Linked DNA regions of Lonchura striata. The protein of the gene in region 2 purifies or fractionates together with the protein of the main gene of each other region. This does not show direct contact. Links are inferred from orthologs where the notes say so. Each region holds a gene or a part of one and is shown on either strand. Other genes may lie near its edges.

Region 1 (10,675 bases), on a different chromosome or scaffold from region 2:
ACCTGTGGAATTTGTGGACACCTGGATCAGAAGATTAATGGTGCGACAGGAGAAGCAACAAATATATTACAAATGCTGCCTGTTTTGCTCATGTTTGTCTGCATTCCATTAGCACGCTAGATGCAGTTGTTAATGTTAGAAAAACATTTAGAAAGTCTAGATAAATGATAAATTTATATTTCACAGTCAACACATTGATAAAAATAATTCAACAAAACTTGCAATAAAGGTTATTTTCTAGTGGACTGCTTTAGAGCTAGTCCTCTGTTCTCTAGTGGGGTAGTACAGATTCTGATAGCTTCTCCTTTGCTGACTGTCCAGAGCAAAAGCTACAGATGGAATTTGCTTTAAAATAATAAAAGATGCAGGTTTTGAACCCACATGTAACTGGATCACAGTGACTGAACTCATTTTGTGACATTTGCCTGTACTTTTTCAGAAAATTACATACAATTTCATTTGCTGCAGACTAATCAGAGCAATAATAGCAATAATATATACAGAAATACATTTCTGGATTTAAGGGCCAGTGAAATATGCAATAAATAGGTTTTATCTATTTACATCTCATTTGGAGGTTTCATGGCAAAAAGTAATATTTTAAGTTAAAAATAGTTACAAAGTTTTTAATGACCAAATAATGATGGTTTAGATATTTTTTTTTTAATTTACATAATGCGGATCATTTGCTGGAATGCAAACTAAGCCTCGTGAAGTTCATATTTTCCTCATTTTTATGTAGGGATATATAACTGAAGTCCAGTGTATGAATTATTCATCATCTGACTGCTGTGAATTAGCTTTCAGCTTTTAGAAGGTTCATGGCTACTTTTTTAATTATGAAAATTACTTGGTAAAATTCCTTCATTTATTGATGAGATCACGTTTGGAGGAAGGTGCTTTCACATCTCACATATCAGTCTGGGTCATAATACAGGAGTATTTTGTGTGCTGCAGTGTGTGAAAGATTTAAATGTGACAGGGCAACAGTCAGGTTTTAGGTAAATAGGTGAAATTTCTCACTGTGCTTAAAGGTGATGGATTTATCAGGGAAAAATGTGCTATAAAGGAACAAACCCAAGAGCTCCGTGGCATCAGGACATGAGCAGACACAACAGTGCCTGAAAGAAGGAAAACTGATCTCAGTGTGCACCACCTGCTTGCAGGAAGCCCCTCTGAAGGAGCTAACCCGTGGGCCCCGTGGGCAGGGGAAGCATTAGGGACACCCAGGCTCTCCTGCCTTAGTGGGGTCTACACACACACACACTTCCCCACACCCACCATGGAAACCACTCGGCTTTTCCTAGAAAAAGAAAGCCTTGTGATCTTGCTGTTCTCAAAATGTTAGTAACAGACTAGAGTGGAACAGCACTTCTATAATCTTTAGGGATCAGGTGCTTGGAACTCCATATAATGTCTTAAATATTCATGTACTAGGGATTTACATAGTGGCATTTTAATTTTCAGTTCCTTAATACCATTGCAATACTCTCCTTGCCTTGTTTTGGCCACCACAAAACACTGACTTGACATTTACTGAGAATTTTTCATTTTATGTCCTTGGCTTTACAGTTCCACATAAATCAGCTTTTCTTAATTACATCCATATTCATTTCCTATGAAGGCACAAATACCCTGCTAATGCACTTTCTCTATTATACTTTCTCAGGAATCTGTGTCTGCGAGCACTCAATCATCTGGCAGGAGCAGGAGCTGTAATTGCTTCCTGGCTGCCAGCAGTTCGGAGCAGGGCTGGAGCTGGGCATGTTCCACGCAGGGGAGAAGGTAACTCACGTTTGGCACCGTGGCTTCCCTGCCCCGAGCAGATTTAGGGGCTCAGGCACCAGGGCCAGCAGTTCAGTCCCTCTGCCCCAGAGGATGCTGAAGCTGGAACCTCCCAGACCCCAAAGCCTGGCTTGTTTGTGTTCTGGGGTGTGAATCCAGAGCCAGCCCCACACCCCTAGCTGCTCTCTTTGGTGAGGATTTTTCTGCTCTGAGGTTCAGGGGAGTTGGCTTCTCTTTTGCTTTGGGTTTTTGACAAAATCTGAGACTTTAACCTCAGCCTGCAACAAAGATGAACCTCGCTGCCAATATAAACACTCTAATCAAACAGATCTTCCAGTGGACTGTGCAGAAATCCAACTGCAAGGCTCCACAACCTTCTGCACATCAACAGTAAAAAATAATGATGACTAATCAATAATATTTATTCGAGGGTCTATCAGTACAAGCCTGGATTGGAATCTTGGCAGAAATGAATTCAGTGACAGATTGCCTGCTGAGTTCAGTGCAGGGATGACTTCAGCCACACATTTCAGTGGCTGGCATTCCAGAGCTCAGGCAAATGCTGATACCAGGAGCAGCAGGAGCAGGGGGTGTGCAGGGGACAGGACTGCTCATCAAACTCTTCCTTGCTTTAGAACTTGTTTATTACCTCCCCTGTGCCATGCTGCAGGAGACATGGGCAAAGAAAGAAACTAGTGCCAAGCACAGCAACTTTGAGCATCATCTCCTCCTCTGTTCCTGCCATGTTGTACCCCTCTCTCCAGGCATTGTGGCAATTAAAAACTTTCTTATAGACTGGTTGTCACTGTTCAGGGGAAAATATATTGGAACCAGAGAGAGAAAAATTAATTACACCGTTTAATCCAAAACTAGATCTGAAAACTTAGCCATTGAGAGGGATTTCAACAAAGCAGACAGCATAAAATGGGAAGTTATTCCTGCAAGGTGGTGGCACTGGCTGTTCAACAGAAACTGGCACCAATGCTGGCAGGTGTCTGATCAGCACAGGAGCTGGGTGGCTTAGTGGGTCTTAAAGATCATTGTGAGACCAGTGGTCCTAATGCTGATTAACTTACTTGTATTTATTATATAATTAATTATGTTGTGTGTAAAAGCATCAATAGTCATCTTAATTATTTTGTATTTGAATAAAACCCAAGCATGACACTGAGCTAGTAGTAGGATGAATCTGGGCACAGTTTTGACCTGAAGCAGCAGCACAACGCATGTGCAATTAAAGCTATTCAGCTTGGGAGTGCTAATTGCCTCCCCTCTGGTGTGAAGTGTTTCGTCTCTTACAATGCAGTGATTTTACTGATTTTTCCAGTGGCTGTATTGTTAGAAACAATACCCACTTCTGCAATAGAAAAAGTAGATTAAGACTATTAGCATCAACTTCTGTTTCATTTTGTTCACTCTGTACACACAGGAGAAAAATGATGTCAAAACTCCTTTTCTCCTTCTTCTGCACTGCTTGAATTTTAGCTTTACTATCAATCTTTCCACACAAACTTTGTAAATTCTCATCTTTCTTCCCCAAATCCCTGTTGACAGCTGTCACACTTCAAACCACCACAAGAACCCTCCTGAGCTGAATGAGAACAAGATCTTGTCCATCACTCATGACTGCTTTCACACCCTCTCATCCTTCCCCCATTTTCTCAGCCCTGTCACTGTAGATTTTACCCCGAGGCAGGCAGTGGCTCCCTTCTGCTCCAGCTTCTGCTGCCACATCTCCTTTCCCTCCCTTTCTCTCCCCTACCCTAAAATCAGAGGGGTGCCTGCAGCACCCCTCTGATGCACTGAATATTTCTGCCTCCTGACACTCTCCTTTCTATCTGGGTCTAATTTCATCCCCTCCCATGCCAAATTCCAGTTTCTACACTCTTCACAAATGTTTTTCCACACTGTAATCATGGACTGAGTACCAACATCATGGCTGGGAGTGTTCCCAGCTGAAACTCCTTGATATTACTGCTCTGGGGAAACTCTATCCACCTCTATTTCCATCCCAACCTTATCTTACCTTGTCTTCTGGTAAGTACATACAGCAAGACACAAATTTACTCAGATACCTTCACTTGCTCCCAGAATTCAGGGCAGGGAATGATGCCCAACAGCCTGTTCAGCTCTCCTGTCTGAATTGCAGGTCTCTGTGTTTGAGCTGTTGTGTCCTTTGCACAGATCTTTGTGTTGTGCTCACTCCTGTAAATATCTCTCAAATATCATTTCTATCTCCAGCTGCATTATCACATCCCACTTACACTCGGTTCCTCCAACCTTCAGACACTTCTGCTTACTCAAATCCAGCCCTTAGAGCAGGTCTGTGGGTTGTTCTTCTGGAGCTGGTGTATTTTTTATCTTAAGTGATGGCTAAAAAGTGGCCAGTGGTAAGGCACAAATTAAATAGTGTTCGTATAGGAAGGTGCTCAGGTGTGGGGCTGTGTATTTTAGGCAGGAGCAGACTGGCTCAAGCAGCCATGAAGTTAATTGAGAGTTTCTGAGTATGGTCCTGCCTTAGTGACGTTTCAGAATGTTCCCCAACATGCTTCAATAACATGCTTCAACAATTGTGCCATCAGAGAAAAATAATCGACTCTTGGAAGGCAAAATGATGTTATTATAGGAAAACCAAACCAGCTCTTTTTGCTTTCCTTCCTTGAGACAGATTCCACACAAGTCTCAGGGAACTCTCAAAGTACCTCAGTTCTAGGGGCTCTTTAACACCAAAGCACTAGCTTTGGTTTCCAAGTTTTGTGTATTTCCTGGGTTTTTAATTTACATTTCCATGTAAAAAGATTTTGTGACTTCCCGACTTCTTATGACCACTGATGTGAAGATGCCATGGGAGCAGCCAGTGAAACCCAGGTTGACTTGCAGCCACAAGCAGGGGATTTCTATGTCCCACTGAGTCAGAAAGTCTCAAAGCAGCCTCAGAGACAGAACAAAACATCACTAAATTCTTCATAAACGCTACTTCAGTGAATTGTGATAAACAGCATGTACAGATTGTCAGGACACCAGTCACCTGTAAATGCAGGAGATCCTTAAGTTACATGAAGTCTAAAGAACTGGTGACAACTTTGCTTCTGCACTTCAAGCAAGGAGTCAAATTTCCTTTCTAGCATTGTGAGCTTAAACTCCAACGTGTCACTGAACCAGAAAGGGTGTGAACACTGAGGATGGAGGGAATTACACTTTACTTCCTCCTCCAAGTGTTTGTGTCTTTCTGAAGTAACAAAAGCCATCCATTCCTGTCACTCCTAGAAGGGTTTTTAGAAATCATCCTCATTTGTTAAAGAGACCTTGAACAGCGTCAGGATCCACAAGGAAGACTCACATGTGGGCTCTTGTCCTGATCCAACATTCCTGCTGCAAATGGGATGTCCAGGGGCATCCACAGGTGTGTGTGACCACACGTGCACAGGGCTCACCAGAAAGATCACAGTCCCGCCTTTGGGCGCTGGCTCGTTCTCAGGGTGTTAACCCAAAGTCTGAAGGGACATGGAGGGATTCCTGGGGTTGTCCTGTGCAGGACCAGGAGCTGGACTCAACAGTCCTGGTGAGCGCCTTCCAGCTCAGCATATCCTATGGTTCTGTGATGAATTTGGATTTCAGAGCATGTAGAGCACATAGCTCGTGTCGCCTCACGGTGCCACCGTCCCAGCCCATGGCAACTTTGCCAAAGGGTGTCCCAGTGAGGCTGCCCTGGCCGAGCTGCGATGGGCACAACCCCAGAGCCAGTCCAGCTGGCAGGGACACAGTGGCTCAGCCGGTGCCACCTCCCTGCTCCAGCAGGGCCACCCCAGAGCCCGTGGCACAGGCCTGTGTCCAGACTGCTCTGCAATCAGACCCCAGAGCCTCTCTGGCCTCTGCTCAGGGCTGGCACTGCCCAGGGCAGTTCTGCCTCCTGGGCAGGGGAACTGCTGGGCTCAGGCCCTGCCCTGGCTCTGGTGCCACGGCTGGGCCCCGGAGCAGAGCCCGGGCCTGCTCTGCCCTCCGGCACCCGGGGACAGCCAGGGCGGAGCCCCCTCTCACTGGGGCTCGCGTCCAGGCTGGGCACCCCCAGCTCGCTCGGCCTTTCCTGGGCACGGAGACGCTCCAGGCCCTTCAGCATCCTCGCAGCCCCGGGCAGATGGACACGGCAGGACCACCGGACACCGGGGCCGGGCCGGTCGCCGCCCTGAGGCGCCGCCGCCGCACGAGCCCCGCGCGCGCTCCCGGGGCCGCCCCGCGGTCACGTGCGCGTCCCCGCGCTCGCGGGCCCCGCCCCGCTCGCGCCCCCGCCCCGGCGGCGGCGGCGGCGGCCCCTCAGGACGGGATGTAGTCCCGGCCGGGGGCGCGGCGGAGGGATCCCCGCGCCGGACCCAGGCGCAGGGCGCGGCGCCTCCTAGCGGGGCCGGGGTAGATCCCGCCGCCGCCGCTGCCGCCGCCGCCTCCGCCGCCATGGCCGCGGCCGGCCCGGTGCGCCCCGCGGGGGCCCCCCAGGGGCGGGGTCGCGTCCCCGCCCGGTGCGGCGGGCGCGGCGGGGCCGGTCCCGCGGGGACCCCCGGGGCTCCCCCGCCCCCCCCCCCCGGGGCGCGGCCCCCTCCCCTCCCGCCGGACAATGAGTCCCGTATGCTAATGAGGGTCTGGCGTCACTTCCGCTCTTTCTCGGCCGCCATCTTGGCCCGGGCAGGCTGTGGGCAGCGGGACCCGGCTGTATTGTCTGAGGGGCCCGGGCGCTGCCCCCGCCCGCGCCCCCGCCCCGGCCACCCGGCCCAGTCACCGCCGCCCCCGCCCCCGGGGCCGCTCCGCACCGCCCGCCCCGCACACTGCACCCCCTCCCCCGTCATCTCCCCCTTTGTCTCCCCCGCGCCGCCGGCGGCTCCGCTCCGCCCGCCCGCCCCGGGACCGGGCGGCGCCGGGGAGGGTCCGGCGCCCCCCCGCCCCCCCCGCCCCAGCCCGCCCTCGCTGCGAGGAGAGCCCGCTCAGGTAGGTGCGAGCGCGGGTCCGCGGTGCGACCCGGGCGGGGACAGCGCCCGACCGCCCCCTCCCTCCTTCCCTCCCTCCCGCGGGCATCCCGCGCCGTGCCCGCCGCCCTGCCCGCCGCACCGGGCGTGCGGAGCTGGCAGCGGCCCCTCCCCGCCCGCACACACGTTGAGGAGCCCCGGCGGTGCGGGCACCGCGGCGCTGCTCCCTGCCCGCCGCCGGCCCCGGCCGCCTCCCTTCCCCGCACGGACGCGTCCCGGCAGCCCGAGGGAGCGGGACCGCCAGCCGCCGGCCGCGTCCGGCATCCCTGGGTGCAGCTGCACCGGGCCCCGGCGGCGGAGTTGGTGCTGGAGCGGCGCCGGGGATGCGATGAATGGGAGCAGCCGAGGGGTCCCTGCCCGCGGGAAAAGGCGGGACCCGCCGCTGCCATCCCGAGGCGCAGCTGCGGCACGGAGCGCCGTTACCTCACCCATCCGTGCCCCGGGCTACGCTTACCGACACCCGTTTGCGAGACAAAGGCGGGGGACGCCAAACTCGGAGCTTCGCGGCCGCACCGGGCAGATGCCCCCGTGCCACGCACCCCCTTCCCGGGCGGCTGCGGCCCGGGCGGGGGCTCCGAAGCAAGTGGCAGTGCGTGCGCGGTGCCGGGGTGCCGGCGCACCCCCGGTGCCCCGGCAGCGGCCGCGGGCGTGACGCCGCGGCCCCCCCGAACCGGAGCGCGCCCGGCGGGGCGCTGCGCGGCGGCAGCCGGCAGGGGGCGCCCTGCGCGCCGGGCCCGCCGCGGCGGGGGAGGGGAGCGCTCCGGGGGCACCGGGGCGCGGGCCGGGCTCGGGGCTGGCCCGGCTCTGCGCACGTGGCCGCAGCCCCCGGGAGCGGCGAGCCTCGACCGCGGGGCACAGCCCCGTCACCGCTGGTCTTGGTGGTCCTTGTTCCTTGGGTGTGTTCAAGCCGTTTTGTAGGTGTCAAAGAGGTTTGCGTCCTCTCCTTTTCATTAAGTTAAGGGTTTTTTCCCTAGCTATGTTTCTGTTTATTTTTGCTGGTATTTCCTGTTTCTGTCTGGAGGTGTGAGGTAACGGAGACAGAGGATTCCCGCCCGTCAGGGTAGCGTGGACCGACCTTAGCTGGCTGCTGTGCAGCTCAGCCTTGTGTGCCTCAGCAGTGCTCCCTCCTGCAGGGTCTCCTACTCGGGAAAACTTTCACTTCAGGACTCTGCAAACTCATAATCACAAGCTGTCATCCCTCTAGGTGAGAAAGATGGATCAGTCTGCTTAAGAAACAGAAAAGCCTTTTTTTCCTGCTTTTAGTAACAAACCAAACCAAAGCTTGGTTCCTTTGCAGATGTGCAGTTGCAGATGTTGGGCAGTAATTTGATATCAGCAGATGGACATTACCATGATATGTGCTGAAATCTTAAAAGAGACAACAGACCAGAAACACCCTGTTGTTAAGAGAATTGCACCAGATGCTGATGGGTTGTAACATAATGGTTACCTTTTCTGAAGACTGTCACAGCAAATACTTCCAATTTCAGTCTAAATAGAGATGTCCTTTTTGACACACAACAAATAATTTGTTCTCCAAAATTGATACCAAGCTGGATGGTTTTGCACTATTTTTGGTGGTTAGCTGCCCTTTGCTCAAATTAGCATTATTTCTTAGTTAGCATTCAAGAGTGACTTTTTGGTATCCAGCAGACATGAGATGCTCCCAGGGGATGTCTCTGAGATCATTGAAAACTGATACCGTTTTAGTGCCCCATTACTAAAACTAATTTTTTTTTGTTTTGAATTGAAGTCCATCAGGCAGGTTTGTAGGAGGCATCTCTTTAGGTTACCACTATTTATGCTTCAGGGTGTATTGTCATGAAGAGCCTGCGGTTCACTTGTGTTGGGCTGTGGGAGGTAGGTGCTGTTGGATGTGCAGGGGAAGGTGAAAGGCTCCTCCTTTGCCTGTAGGTGAGACAGACCCAGTGCCACACTTGGGAGTGAAAAGCCTTCACAGGAGAGGAAGACCGAAGAGGAACTCCTGACTGTCTTGGAAAGTTCATGCCCTGCAGTGTTAAGCACCAGCTGCACAAACACAGCGCCCAGGAAGGTGTTTGTGCTCCTCAGGCTGAGAGGAGGAACGTGATGGATTTTCTGTGTGTAGGGCAGAAGGTACCAGTGGTCAGAAGTGCTTGCTGACACTGACACAGAGGTCCCTGTCCTTGCCACAGCGTGTGGGTTAAGTGTAAACTCTCACTTAACTCTTACTTAACTCTCACTTGGTGGTGCTGCCCAGATCCCTGCGCTGTTCTGAGCACCGTGAGCTGTAGGGAAATGCAGGACACGTCTTCTGGGGCAGCTGGGTTGTGCTGCTCACACGCTGCAGGTGAATAATGGCTCATTAGTCCCAGCTCAGCTTTGCCACTCTGTAATAACATAAATACTGAAAGTAAACATTGAAGTTTACAGTGGAATTCCTGGAATACAGAAACATACCAGGATCTTATCAGTAGTCATAAGTTATATGGTCTGAGTGTATATTTTATAGCTTGTTATTAAGACAGCAGCTGATTTGATTGATGCAAAGAAAGAAGTTGAAACAAGTGATTTTATGAAAGAAAAGATGGTGCTCCTGGGTTAATGTGTTTGTTTTAAGGTAGCTGCAAATAACATTTAGCAACTTAATAGGAGATGTGTTGGGTGCTTTTTGTGGGGTTTTATCTCCAGAAAGGGAAAGTCATCTTTGCTCTACTACTTGAGATGTTTAAGGGAAACAAAATTCTGCTGGGAATGACCAAAGCAGTATCAGACCTGAGAAGGACCAGTTTAAAGACTGTAGGAGAGGTGCCAGGAGAGGCAGGGAACAGCTCTGGGGCTGAGCTGCCCACTGTGTTGTTTCACAGGTGCCATTGGAGCTGCTCTACCTGCATGGGCAAAATGGACACATTTTTAAAAGTCATTAGTGCAGCTGAGTTTGTATATTAATAATGCTATGTTTAGTGGAATTATTTTCTTTAAGATGCATGCACCATGCTGGTTTAAAAACACAACAGCTGACTATGCTGGCCTGTATCTAAACAAGCATCACACAGTCTTTTTTTTTGGTATATTGAGTCAAGAGCTGCTCTGTGCCCAGATATACATATATATATATATATATATATATATATATATATATATATATATATATATATATATGTGTGTGTGTGTGTGTGTAAGGTATGTAAGGTATCGTTCCTATGAACATTATCGTAACAGGATAATTTTTAATGTGGAGATGGTTCTGCTCATATAAATAAATCTGTTGCTAGTGATGTTTCTTGATAGTGTAAAAGATGGGATGACAATGAAAGGTGCTGCTGTGAGTCTCTGCACTGGAAAAAAAAAGAACCCTTACTGATGTTAATTTAGTTTTAATAAAAATAAATATTGTACCTTTATTGTATGTGAGAGGTTTATTTTGCCTCACCTGGCATATTTGGGAAGAATGCCCTTGCTCTCCTAGGCAAGATGGCCAAATTGGCCTGTTCCTTTTGAGCTTTCAGGAAGAACTTAAACCTGGTTTGAAATTCAGATGGGTGTTCCAGATTTGAATAAAGGCTTCTTCCAGAGGGTGTGACTCCTGTTTTTCTACCTGAGGGCCATGTGCCTCAAGGCAAGAACTGCATTGTTCACAGCTTCACTGCAGCTCTGGAGTCAGAAGGCAAACAGGAGCTTGTGTTTAGTGTCTCTGATTTCTCTGTAGTGCTCTTGAATGTGAATGAGGGTTGATGGTTTGGAGTAAGAATGGAGTAAATACCATTTTTTATGCAGTGAGTCACTTTCAGTTACTGCCATTTATATCCTTACTGTTTTTTTCATTTTTTAAGGTGGCATTAGGGATTATTTAGATGAAAACTGAGAGTGGTTGTTGAGTCCAAGGCCTGTGTAGTTGA
Region 2 (10,139 bases):
CCGAGAAGGCATTTAAAAATTGTGTTTTCCAGATGAAGATTAAAGAGCTACTTCTGGGCTTCCTACTTTCTTTAACAAAGTAAAATTCCACTGTGTCTCAAAAGCTAAACATTAATACAGACGGGAGTTGCTGTCATTTTTGTAAATGTTAGCAGTAAACATTTAGTATTCCTATTACTTTCCCACCCAAACTTCGTCTACCCTCGTGCTGCCTTGTCTTGTGCTCAGGATACCTGCCACTGTCGGACCCCAGCTTTTCTGCTCGGCTTCACAAAGTGAAAGCAGGTTGCTGCCTCAGGGCCTAAAGAGGGCAGCTTTTCTCGCCTGTGATGCACAGGTACCCCGCTGACCTTTTAAGCAGCCTGCTGCCCTCCAGGGAGGCTGCTGGAACAGGGGGAATGCCGCTAGCTCACCGCATGGCACACGTGCAAACAGCAGCTCCCCACATCTGATGCTGTGCTATGTCCTTGGCACTGGAAAGCAACACACATCGCTGCAGAGTGCAAGGCAAGATGGGATCCTTTTCACTGCACATCAGCAAGCAGTGGAAATTCATTTAGCTAGCCGTGCATTTCTTATGGACACATCACTTTCATACTGCAGGCAGAGTCACAGCACTTGCCTCTGACTACAGCATACATCCCCAAAAACGGGTGGAGGGGAGATGGAGAGATAAGACAAATCTCTTAGTAAGGGAATGAGCTGGGCCCTCTCAATCTCACCCTGCAGTACCACAAACTCCTGGCCCTGCTGCTGGGGAAAACAGAGGGAAAATCTCACATCCTGATAAGAATCCAGAGCAAAACTATGCCCTGTGGAATTTGCCCAAGGTATGGCATTGCCTAAATCGGGTCTAATTGCCATGCAAGATAGGATGAAGAACCTCTTAATTCCCCAGCCTCTGTCCCAAAGGCTGAACACTCTTAGCACTCATAATCTTGTGCACTGAGTCATATTAAATAAGTTGCAGGACTCAGCCTAGTTTTGCCACGCTTCCTCCAGTACACTGCTTTAGAAGGAGGGGTGAGTTTCAATCCGAACCTAAAAACCAGGGTATGTATTCCCTTCCTCCACTTTCCCCGGGCTTTATATTGAAAGCAGAGCAGGATCTAGGTGACTTACCTGCTGTCAGCACCTTCTATGTTTTAAATTTTTCTATCAGGGCACAGAAGAGCCATAAAAATGAAGAACTACATTATCTCACTTTGCATCAGATTTTCCACCTTCCTCTGTGATTTACCATACCAAAATCTCTGCCATTTGAGTGATATGGAAAGTGGCAGATGAAGGCTCAAAACCTGTAATGCTGCCTAGAATATGCAGCAAATAGAGTCTAATTAGAAATTAATATTTATTAGCTATGTTCCTCTAACATAATTCGTACTGCCGCAGAGTATCACTAGAGTATCACGTAGAAGGCAAGAAGGTTTGAAGTGAAGTCCCTCAGTAGAGAAGCACAGCAAATGCCATGTGGGGAGGCTGACAGGACCTGGCTCTGCAGAGACGCCGGCCTGCCCGACAGGGGCAGAGGAGCCCACGGACAGGAGGACTCCGAGACATTAAATACCTGCTGGCTGAGAGCCGGGAGCGCTGCAACAACCGAGAGGGGCTGGTCCTCACGGGCCGTGCAGAGCCGCGGGCTCCTTCCCGGCGGAGGCGGAGCGGGCGCGTCACGTGCGGCCGTGTTCCCGCAGCCCGGCTTCCTCCTGCGGCCGTGGCCCCGCGGCCATGTCCCCTCAGCCGTGTCCCCGCAGCCCGGCTTCCTCCTGCGGCCCTGGCCCCGCGGCCATGTCCCCTCAGCCGTGTCCCCTCAGCCACGTTCCCGCAGCCCGGCTTCCTCCTGCGGCCCTGGCCCCGCGGCCATGTCCCCTCAGCCGTGTCCCCTCAGCCACGTTCCCGCAGCCCGGCTTCCTCCTGCGGCCGTGGCTCCGCAGCCATGTCCCCTCAGCCACGTTCCCGCAGCCCGGCTTCCTCCTGCGGCCCTGGCTCCGCGGCCATGTCCCCTCAGCCGTGTCCCCTCAGCCGTGGCCCTGCAGCCATGTCCCCTCAGCCGTGGCCCTGCGGACATGTCCCCTCAGCCGTGTCCCCTCAGCCGTGTCATGTCCCCTCAGCCGTGTCCCCTCAGCCGTGTCATGTCCCCTCAGCCGTGTCATGTCCCCTCAGCCGTGTCCCCTCAGCCCTGCTTCCCGCGGAGGGCAGCGGCTTGGCCAGCGAGGGAGTTGGCGCTGGCTCGGCAGGGCTCACGGGGACAGTGTCTCTGAACAACATCCCTGCCTTTGCCCGTTGGTTTGTAGAACGAAGTCCTAGTAAACAGTGTCCCCCAAAATGGAGCTTCCATACAACGGAATGTTTATAGAAAATGCACCACAATGTGTATGATGAAGTTGGGAATTAAATATTGGGGAAATAGTCAGGATTTGACTTGCCAGGAGGCCTTGTCCCATCAGAAGTCAACCAATGACTAAAGCCAGGAACAAAGCAAACCTGGAGCACCTGCAGAACAGAGAATACCTCCGAATGAACAACTGAAAAAAAGAGAACCATTAGAGTTATATCCCCTTCCACTTCTCAACAGTATGTAAATACGGTAAGGTCAAACCTAGACAGAACTGTTGAGTGTGTGACAAGTTTTCTCCAAGAACCTGTGTTTCAAATCCAGCATGTGAGATCTTTCTCAAGCTCCACACTCCTGCATACTCCACAGTTCTTCTTTGCTGGAGAAGGTTTTGTGGGATAAACACAAAACCAATTCTTCAACCAAGACTCATCTCTATGGCAAAAACAACGAACTAAGAATACACTCACTGTGTCAGCAGGTCCTGACAGAAGCACTGCAAGGGTTAACAAAAGAAATGTCAGGATATACTGAGTTTCAGTTACAGCTTGTATACTGAAAGTAAGGATCCTTATTCAGGAGTGAATTCTACTCAATGAAACTCAAATTTTAAGTAAATGCAAATAGCCTATACTAAAAATGTGAAAAATAAACAAAATATCATTTAATTTAATTTGAGTGCCCAAGCAAGTAATTTTCAAGTCTGTTTAATGTTTAGGAAGAAAAAGCCTTACTTCAGTCTCTGCAAATGGTTTTAGTTACTTCTGTGACTTTCCATCTCTTGAGGATAATCTACTCCTAATAAGGACAATTGCTTAGATTTATTACCCCACTGAGGTCTTGTTAAAGATCTAACAAAAATCCTATTTAAATGAAAAGGACAATAGAATTTAAAGTCAGTGTAGAGTTTAATTAAAACCTGAAACAGAATCAATGTCTTCATGAATTAGAAAAGCAAAAACAGATTTCAAAGCTGTTAAACTATGTGTAATTGGCATAAACTATCCATTGAGCCAAAGTTTAAAAAAAAGGCAGACTATCGTATGGAAATTGGAGTCTATTAATAAATAAAAAACCTGATACGTGTGCATAGCACCATATTTTTGCATGCATTTTTTTATTTGCCTAATTTGCTAAGCATATCTTAGAGCAAACATGAAACAAGCTAGCTGTTAAGTTGAACAAATCCAAAAGGGACAAAAAGAGACTGATTGAAATCAATGCATTAACATGAACCAGCATTTAAAAACGCTTCATAATGTTCCCAAAGCGAGCATGTAAACTGCAGCAGTCTCAGTTCAAAACTGCTGTAATCTGTGTTCCCATGTAGTCATTATTCATACATGGGAGTATACAGCTCCTAAGTCATTTTTCATGCATGAATAGTTTAAAACCCAAAATCACTGACATAAATCCACAAGGGAGACCGCCCTTTTGAAAGTTAACATCTCGAGAACTCTGGGAAGGAATGTGAAGCCAGTACCAGTCCATGTGCTGACAAAACTGTTCTGTAGGGAAGGATCTATGCGCAGCCCCACTCCGACCGCAGGCACACCCAAGCCTTGCCCAGCCCCAGAGCCACCGCCGGCCTCTTGGGTCCCATTTGCAGAGCCAAACCCAGCAAGGTCGCAGCCACGACCCCAAGCCAGATCTCGCCACCTCTCCCTTCTCCTACCGGCATGCAACCGGGACCTCGCACACAGGGCAGGGAGGTCAGCACAACAGCTGCTTTGGGCACACACTTTCAGGAGAAAATAAATTCTGAGACAAGAACTATCCTATAACCTATTTCTGCATTAAAGGCAGAAACAAAAGGCTCTTTTGTTTCCCTTCTTTCCCACAGGAAGGGTGATGGGCTGCCTGGGGCGGGCAGACGCGGATGGGCTCGGTGCAGAGGAACTGCACACCCAGGTGCTCCAGGCAGCAGTGGCTGGAAATGGTACCCCAGCTCGGCTGGCCGCCCTAGCTGGCCCAGCTGTCACCCGAGGGGGACAAATTAAGAGTCAGAAGGGAACTCGTCTGGAAAAATCCCGAAAGGATGGTACGTCACCTTCCCTCTGCAGCACATCAGTCCCTTGTTAACCGTTTTATCAATCTGGTACAAGCCCACAGAACTGGCCATCTTACGTAGGCCTCTCTCCATTTAAAGTTACAGTTCTTGCCGGTGTTACGATATAGTCGGCGCCTTTGCTTTTAACTTCCATTTTTGCATGGGTGTTCAGTATTTTGGCCTCCCTTTAAGTCCGGAAACACCTGGCCGAGGCAAGGCCAGCTGCAGCCGGGCCACCAGGTCCCTCCGGGGCGCGGCTGCGCGGCGGTGGCGGCCGGGTCCCTCCCTTGGTCCCTGCCCGCGGGTCTGTGTGTCACCTACCCAGCAGCGCCGAGACGCGAGAGCCCTCTGGACAAGCACCGTGGAACACGCCATGGGGTGCCTGCAGCACAAGCTGTGCCATACCTCGGTCTCCCCCTGCGCCTGGTGCCAGCACCGAGGGGGAGCGCACGGTGACACGCGAGTGCCAGCGCTCAAGCCCCCGGAGGGCGGCGCCCCGAGGGCGGCACCCCGGCCGTCCCGGGCCGCCCCTGCGCACGGCCGGCGGGGCCGTGGCCTCCGGCCCGCCCGGCCCGCGGGCTGCGCGGAGCGGGCGCGGCGCCAGCGGCCCGCGCTGTCCCGGGCCCGGCCCCGCACTGAGCCCCGCGCTGTGCCGGTGCGCAGTGAACGAGGGCTCGTTCCGCGCACGGTTCCTGCACGGCGGATGGGCAATTCCTCCACGCGCCTCAGGCCGGCGATTGTGAGCGCAGTAATGGAGGGGAAATGTCCGATGTGAGCCCCATGTGAAAGACATCAAAACACTTTGTGTGCGGTGCATCCTGGGGGTTGTATTCCTCAAAGACCTTTTTAAAGAAACACAGTCTGAAATCTCTTGTCAGGGTCTGCAGGAAAGACACAGCTGTTTACAAATGGTACTTGGAATTATGTTACCCATTCCAGTTGGTGACAAAGAGCTCCTCATTTCCCATTCCATCTACAGGAGTGGAAACGTCAATTTAATGCTCTTTATTTAGTTCTTTCACTACAGATACAAAGCCTAGTACAGTTTCAAGGCAATGAGGAATGCTATGAAACTGGGATGAAATCTTGGATTATTCCAAGCCCTGTCAACTACCTCTATAGCTAACAAGCAGAACTACATCTTGGTGACTTATGACTAAACTCCAAATAAAAAATACAATTGAAAATATATACGTAGCTGCTAATGACAATTCTAAACAGGATTTAGGATCTCTGTTTCACTAATGTTATGTAGTTCGCTTGCCACATACATGAAACAAAGGCTACTTTCCAGTTCAAGGATGAGTGAAATATAACTGTTGAAAGAAACATGAGTCTGCTTTGCTCCTTGTACACATGCACTTTCTTTTGGCAATAACAGCATTGCCAAGAGATAAGAGACAGGCTTCTCAAAAGGTAATGCACATAAGAACCTTACAGAACAACTGGCCTGGTACAACAGCTGAGTGGCACAGGGCGAGAGTGGAGCTCCATAGCGTCAACAAGCTTTTCTGACAGAACACAGATTTACCCTCAGTGACTATTTTAATTACTGATTAGGTTTCTACATCTTCACAAACACATTCCAGTCATACTTCCAAAAGTATCTGGCCGGTCAGCACAACCTTGTATAGAAGTAGACAAAATGGCTTCTGCATGAAGTTTGTCTACAGAGGAGAAAAGGCAAAATAAAGGCATGAAGGTGAGGGTTGCCCCAAACTCAGCATCACCCTCAAAGCTTCATGTAAGAAACAGGTCATTCCTAAAGCTGTGCCTCTGAAGGAGGCAATACTTTGTCCACTATTTTTTCTCCTGTTTTGCTTTTTAGTCATGTTATGTCCTGAATAAAACATCTTAGAACAGATACCCCACTCTTTCATTAAAAGTTACGGGAGAGACTTTTTTATAAAACTACATCTATCTGATGCTTCTTTAGTAAACTTATTCTGCTGGGGTAATGGATTGTTGTCCCTGTCCTGGAGGAGGCTGATGCTGGGCATGTGGCTACTCTGTGTGCCCTCCCTAATGCAGAGCTCTGAGACTCTCCTTCCAGGGATGGATCATGATGTTTTCATGTCTGACACCAACTCTACCTATGGCTGCACTCACAGATTTTTCAGTGAATACTTACACAGCTACAGCACCTGACATGATATCAGCCCAGCATTTCCCATTATTAGGGGTATGGAGGAATGCAGATAAAGTACTTTACTTCCTTCAGTGCATCATCCCACTCCAGGAAAGGAAACAATTTCTCACAGGGCTTAAGTAAGCAAAAGGTGAGGCCTACAATTAACTAGGGCCACAAATACAAATGATAATTACCTCAACCCAAAGGAAAATATATAGCTACTTCGGAAAGTATTAATGCAGATTAAATCCAGTCAATAGCAGAAGTCAGAGTTATTAATAAATTCTGGTTCTCATATCTGCTCTTCCAGAAGAAAAACACTTTAAGAATGCAACAGATGCTTTGCTTTGAGCATACTCCAGTAGATCTCAGTACTGCTTACATACACCTGAACGAGCAGTTTATTGATGGGAGGGAGCTGGCCTGTCCCACATCTGTTATAAGTTACCTACTTGCAGGACTAAGACCCAGTTATCTCTATAAAGCTAAAATCAACCAAACAAAACCAGGAAGAGGTAAGGTGGAAGAGTAGTTAGCTCTTTTACATAGTTTCCACAAGGACCTGGAACTAGCAATTGTGTTTAGGTAGATGGTTTTCTGTTTGATAAGCACACACACAATCCTTATTTATAAATGCAAATGTTACTGGAATGGGAGGATAGAATTGTTCGTTAAATCACGACAAGTCTGATCTCTTGGAGAGCTAGAATTAATAAAAAAGCATGAAAATTAATGTTTCCATTGTGTCACTGCAGGGCAAATCTTTCTTTCCAGTCTTTCTTCCAATCTGAAAATTTCTGAAATGGTTCACAGAGATGCCATGAACACCTGCTCTAGGAAACCTACCTTTCTCCTATCACTTCTAAAGTTTGCTCTGTCCCACAGGCAAAATCTCTCCTCCACAATACGTGCCTACAACATCTCAGATCACTTCATTTCCTTTCTCTACCCAACTTGGGAGCATCAGGTATCTTCACCCCTGAGCATTGTTCAGTTCCTCTTAGAGGAGGACGTGTCTGCCCCTTCCAGAACACAGGAGGCAAACAGGTGCCCTCTGTGTAGCTTCCTCACACCTGCAAAAGTTGCAGCAGCAGAGTATAACAGTACTTCTGCAGTGAGCTCAATGTTCACCACCCACACAGGAAGGGGAAGTACAGGAACATCACAAACAAGTGAGGAGGGACTTGGGTTTTGCTTTGAGACTATCCTTTTTATATAGACTGTAGAAAAGTAATATTTTCTTAAGCACAGTTGTTTTTTTAAAAGCAGGAGGTATTTTCCTTGCTGAAAAATCAAAGAGGCACTCAAATGCACTAAGCATAACATGCTTAGTGCATTTTATTAAGCAAGCTGCTTCTACTGTCACAATGCAATGACTGGTCCTATCTTACTGTCACCTTCTCCCAGTTACTCACTAATGCTGCATGAACATGCAGATACACCCATCTACTAAAACAAAATGCAACAAAGCCTCTACCCAACTTTGGGTCTACTTAAACTGACAGCAAAGTCACAAGTTACAGTAGGAACTATTTTTATGTATTCTCAAGTAAATACAATTAAATAACAAAACTAGGGGGAAAAATCATACTAAGTCCTATACAAGTGTTCAGACAAGAACTTAAAATAACACCTCATTTCTTTTCAGGTTACCATTTGTTTTGCACTACTTTTAAATATTCTACTGTGTCTCTAGGCACTGTAAGACAGTCATTCTGCAGCAAAACTTCTGCTGAAGTAGGCTCTGGTGGTGGAATGCATTTAGAAATGATGGCCAGATGATGGCATGGTAAACGTCCTTCCTTTGACAGCCTGTATATGTCTATTAGAAATATTCCTTGTTCCATATGCATGTGGAGGATTAGACACATACACTCCTCACACAGAACAAGTATCTCCTGGAACACGTCAGCAGAGTATTTACTACCAAATCCAGAAGGAGTTTGTGATTCTTACATTGTCCCCATTAATGAGAAAAATGTCACTATACAAAAGCTCTCTTTTTTTTGCTTTCTTATCAAATCCTTCAAACAGCTGATAACTAGCTTTTATAGATTGGAGAGTCAGATGGAATTCTGAACCTATTGTTTTACTAAAACCCCAGGGGTCAACTTATCACCCGAAAACCATTTTACATGGACAATTTGACTTTCATATGGAGTGTCAGAACATACCCTAGATGGAAATCTAAAATAAATTATATTGAATAGTGCCTTCTTTGTGCTGAAATTTATTGGTCCCACACTACAATAATTTTGAAAATTGTATCCCTTAAGCTGCAGTGCTGAGATATTATTAACTGCTTGAACTGAAAGAGCAGGTCTGATCAACTGCTATAAAGTCTATGGACAGAGACTAATTTCTATTGAACCACATGCTTATCTGAAGCTGTGTTCCACCATTGCAAGCTGCCAACTTTATTTTCTTCCAGAATACACTGCCCATCTTTTTACCATCATCCTCAGTATGCACTGTCACTTCAGCAAATTCATTCCAGGAGCTAAGAATGTGTCTAAGCTTCTGCTAATATGGTTGTCTGAGACAATCACACCCAGGAGACGGGGAGGGAGATCCATCCACTTGTACCTCTTATCTTCCTAAAACAGGTTATTTTCCTCACTAAGCAAGCCTCCAGTCTCTGAAACGCATCTCTGTGATGAATCACAAGATAAGCATATCTATTTAATGGCCAACACATTCTTTATCACTTCTGCTACCACAATTAAGAAATAAAATTATTTGATAATGTGCTGATGCTTTGGTCAATACACATTTACATCAGTTAGTACAATTTTTAAAAACTAAACTGACCTCAGAGCCTAAAATCTTTATAATTGAGAAGATAATGAAAATGATAAATGATACAGCTGCTGGGTGACTATTCTTTGAATGGAAATTCCCAACTAGACAGAAAAACCTTCCCCAGGCATAACACATAAGACACAAGGATAGAGTTCTGGGATAAAAGAAATGTATTTCCTACACCCAGGAACCTAACAAGTCTGGAATAAAACAGCTAAAATATTACACCACAACCAGGAAAAATAGTAATAAATTGTACTGCCTCATTTTCATTCAGATAATTTAATAGCCTTTATAAACTGAAAGAAATTGTTAAAAAGGAGGTTCTGATTTGCACATCCAAGTTTCTAGATAGTACTATGTTCACTTTTTCTTTACTAGACAGTGTCAAGCTCTCCATGAGGCATTCAAAACTAATGACAACTCACTGTGGCAAATCAATCTCTCTAAGCAGAGAATCTGTTGCTTCTGGCAATGGCATTCAGCTCATTAAGACCTGTGCCCAGCAGGAATTTGAAAACCAAGGTGTGGCAGGTCTCTTCCAAACTTTTTAATGCCTGTCTGTTCAACATCCTTTATTTTAGGATGGATCTAAGAAGCAGAAGGAGCCTGTCAGTAAGTGGACACTTGTCCTGAATGAGTGGCTTGGCTGCTTAAAAAACACCATCAAAGGTATTGGCAAAGCAGGATACAATAAGAATCTGTGAAAATAGACAGAGTTCAATGGCAAGGTTCACTGTATTACTTATTGCATTAGACAGATTAAAGCATAAAAAAGAATAGTATTTCTGTGTCTACTTTCATTACATCCTACCATTTAT

Evidence for each region. Proteins that work in one complex are often made in the same cells at the same time.
Region 1: the proteins of ZNF644 (region 2) and ADNP purify together in Homo sapiens (affinity purification with mass spectrometry; 3 studies listed by BioGRID and IntAct, with this or other methods). This does not show direct contact. The link is inferred for Lonchura striata from reciprocal best matches to the Homo sapiens genes ZNF644 and ADNP.

What each region holds. Positions count from the first base shown.
Region 1 is NC_134619.1:1,235,212-1,245,886, reverse strand, and holds the start of ADNP (activity-dependent neuroprotector homeobox protein), read left to right. Parts: upstream 1-6,706; 5' UTR 6,707-6,759; intron 6,760-7,251; exon of another isoform or gene 7,252-7,391; intron 7,392-7,818; exon of another isoform or gene 7,819-8,001; intron 8,002-10,675.
Region 2 is NC_134611.1:20,146,848-20,156,986, forward strand, and holds the start of ZNF644 (zinc finger protein 644), read right to left. Parts: upstream 4,903-10,139; 5' UTR 4,707-4,902; intron 1,654-4,706; exon of another isoform or gene 1,568-1,653; intron 1-1,567.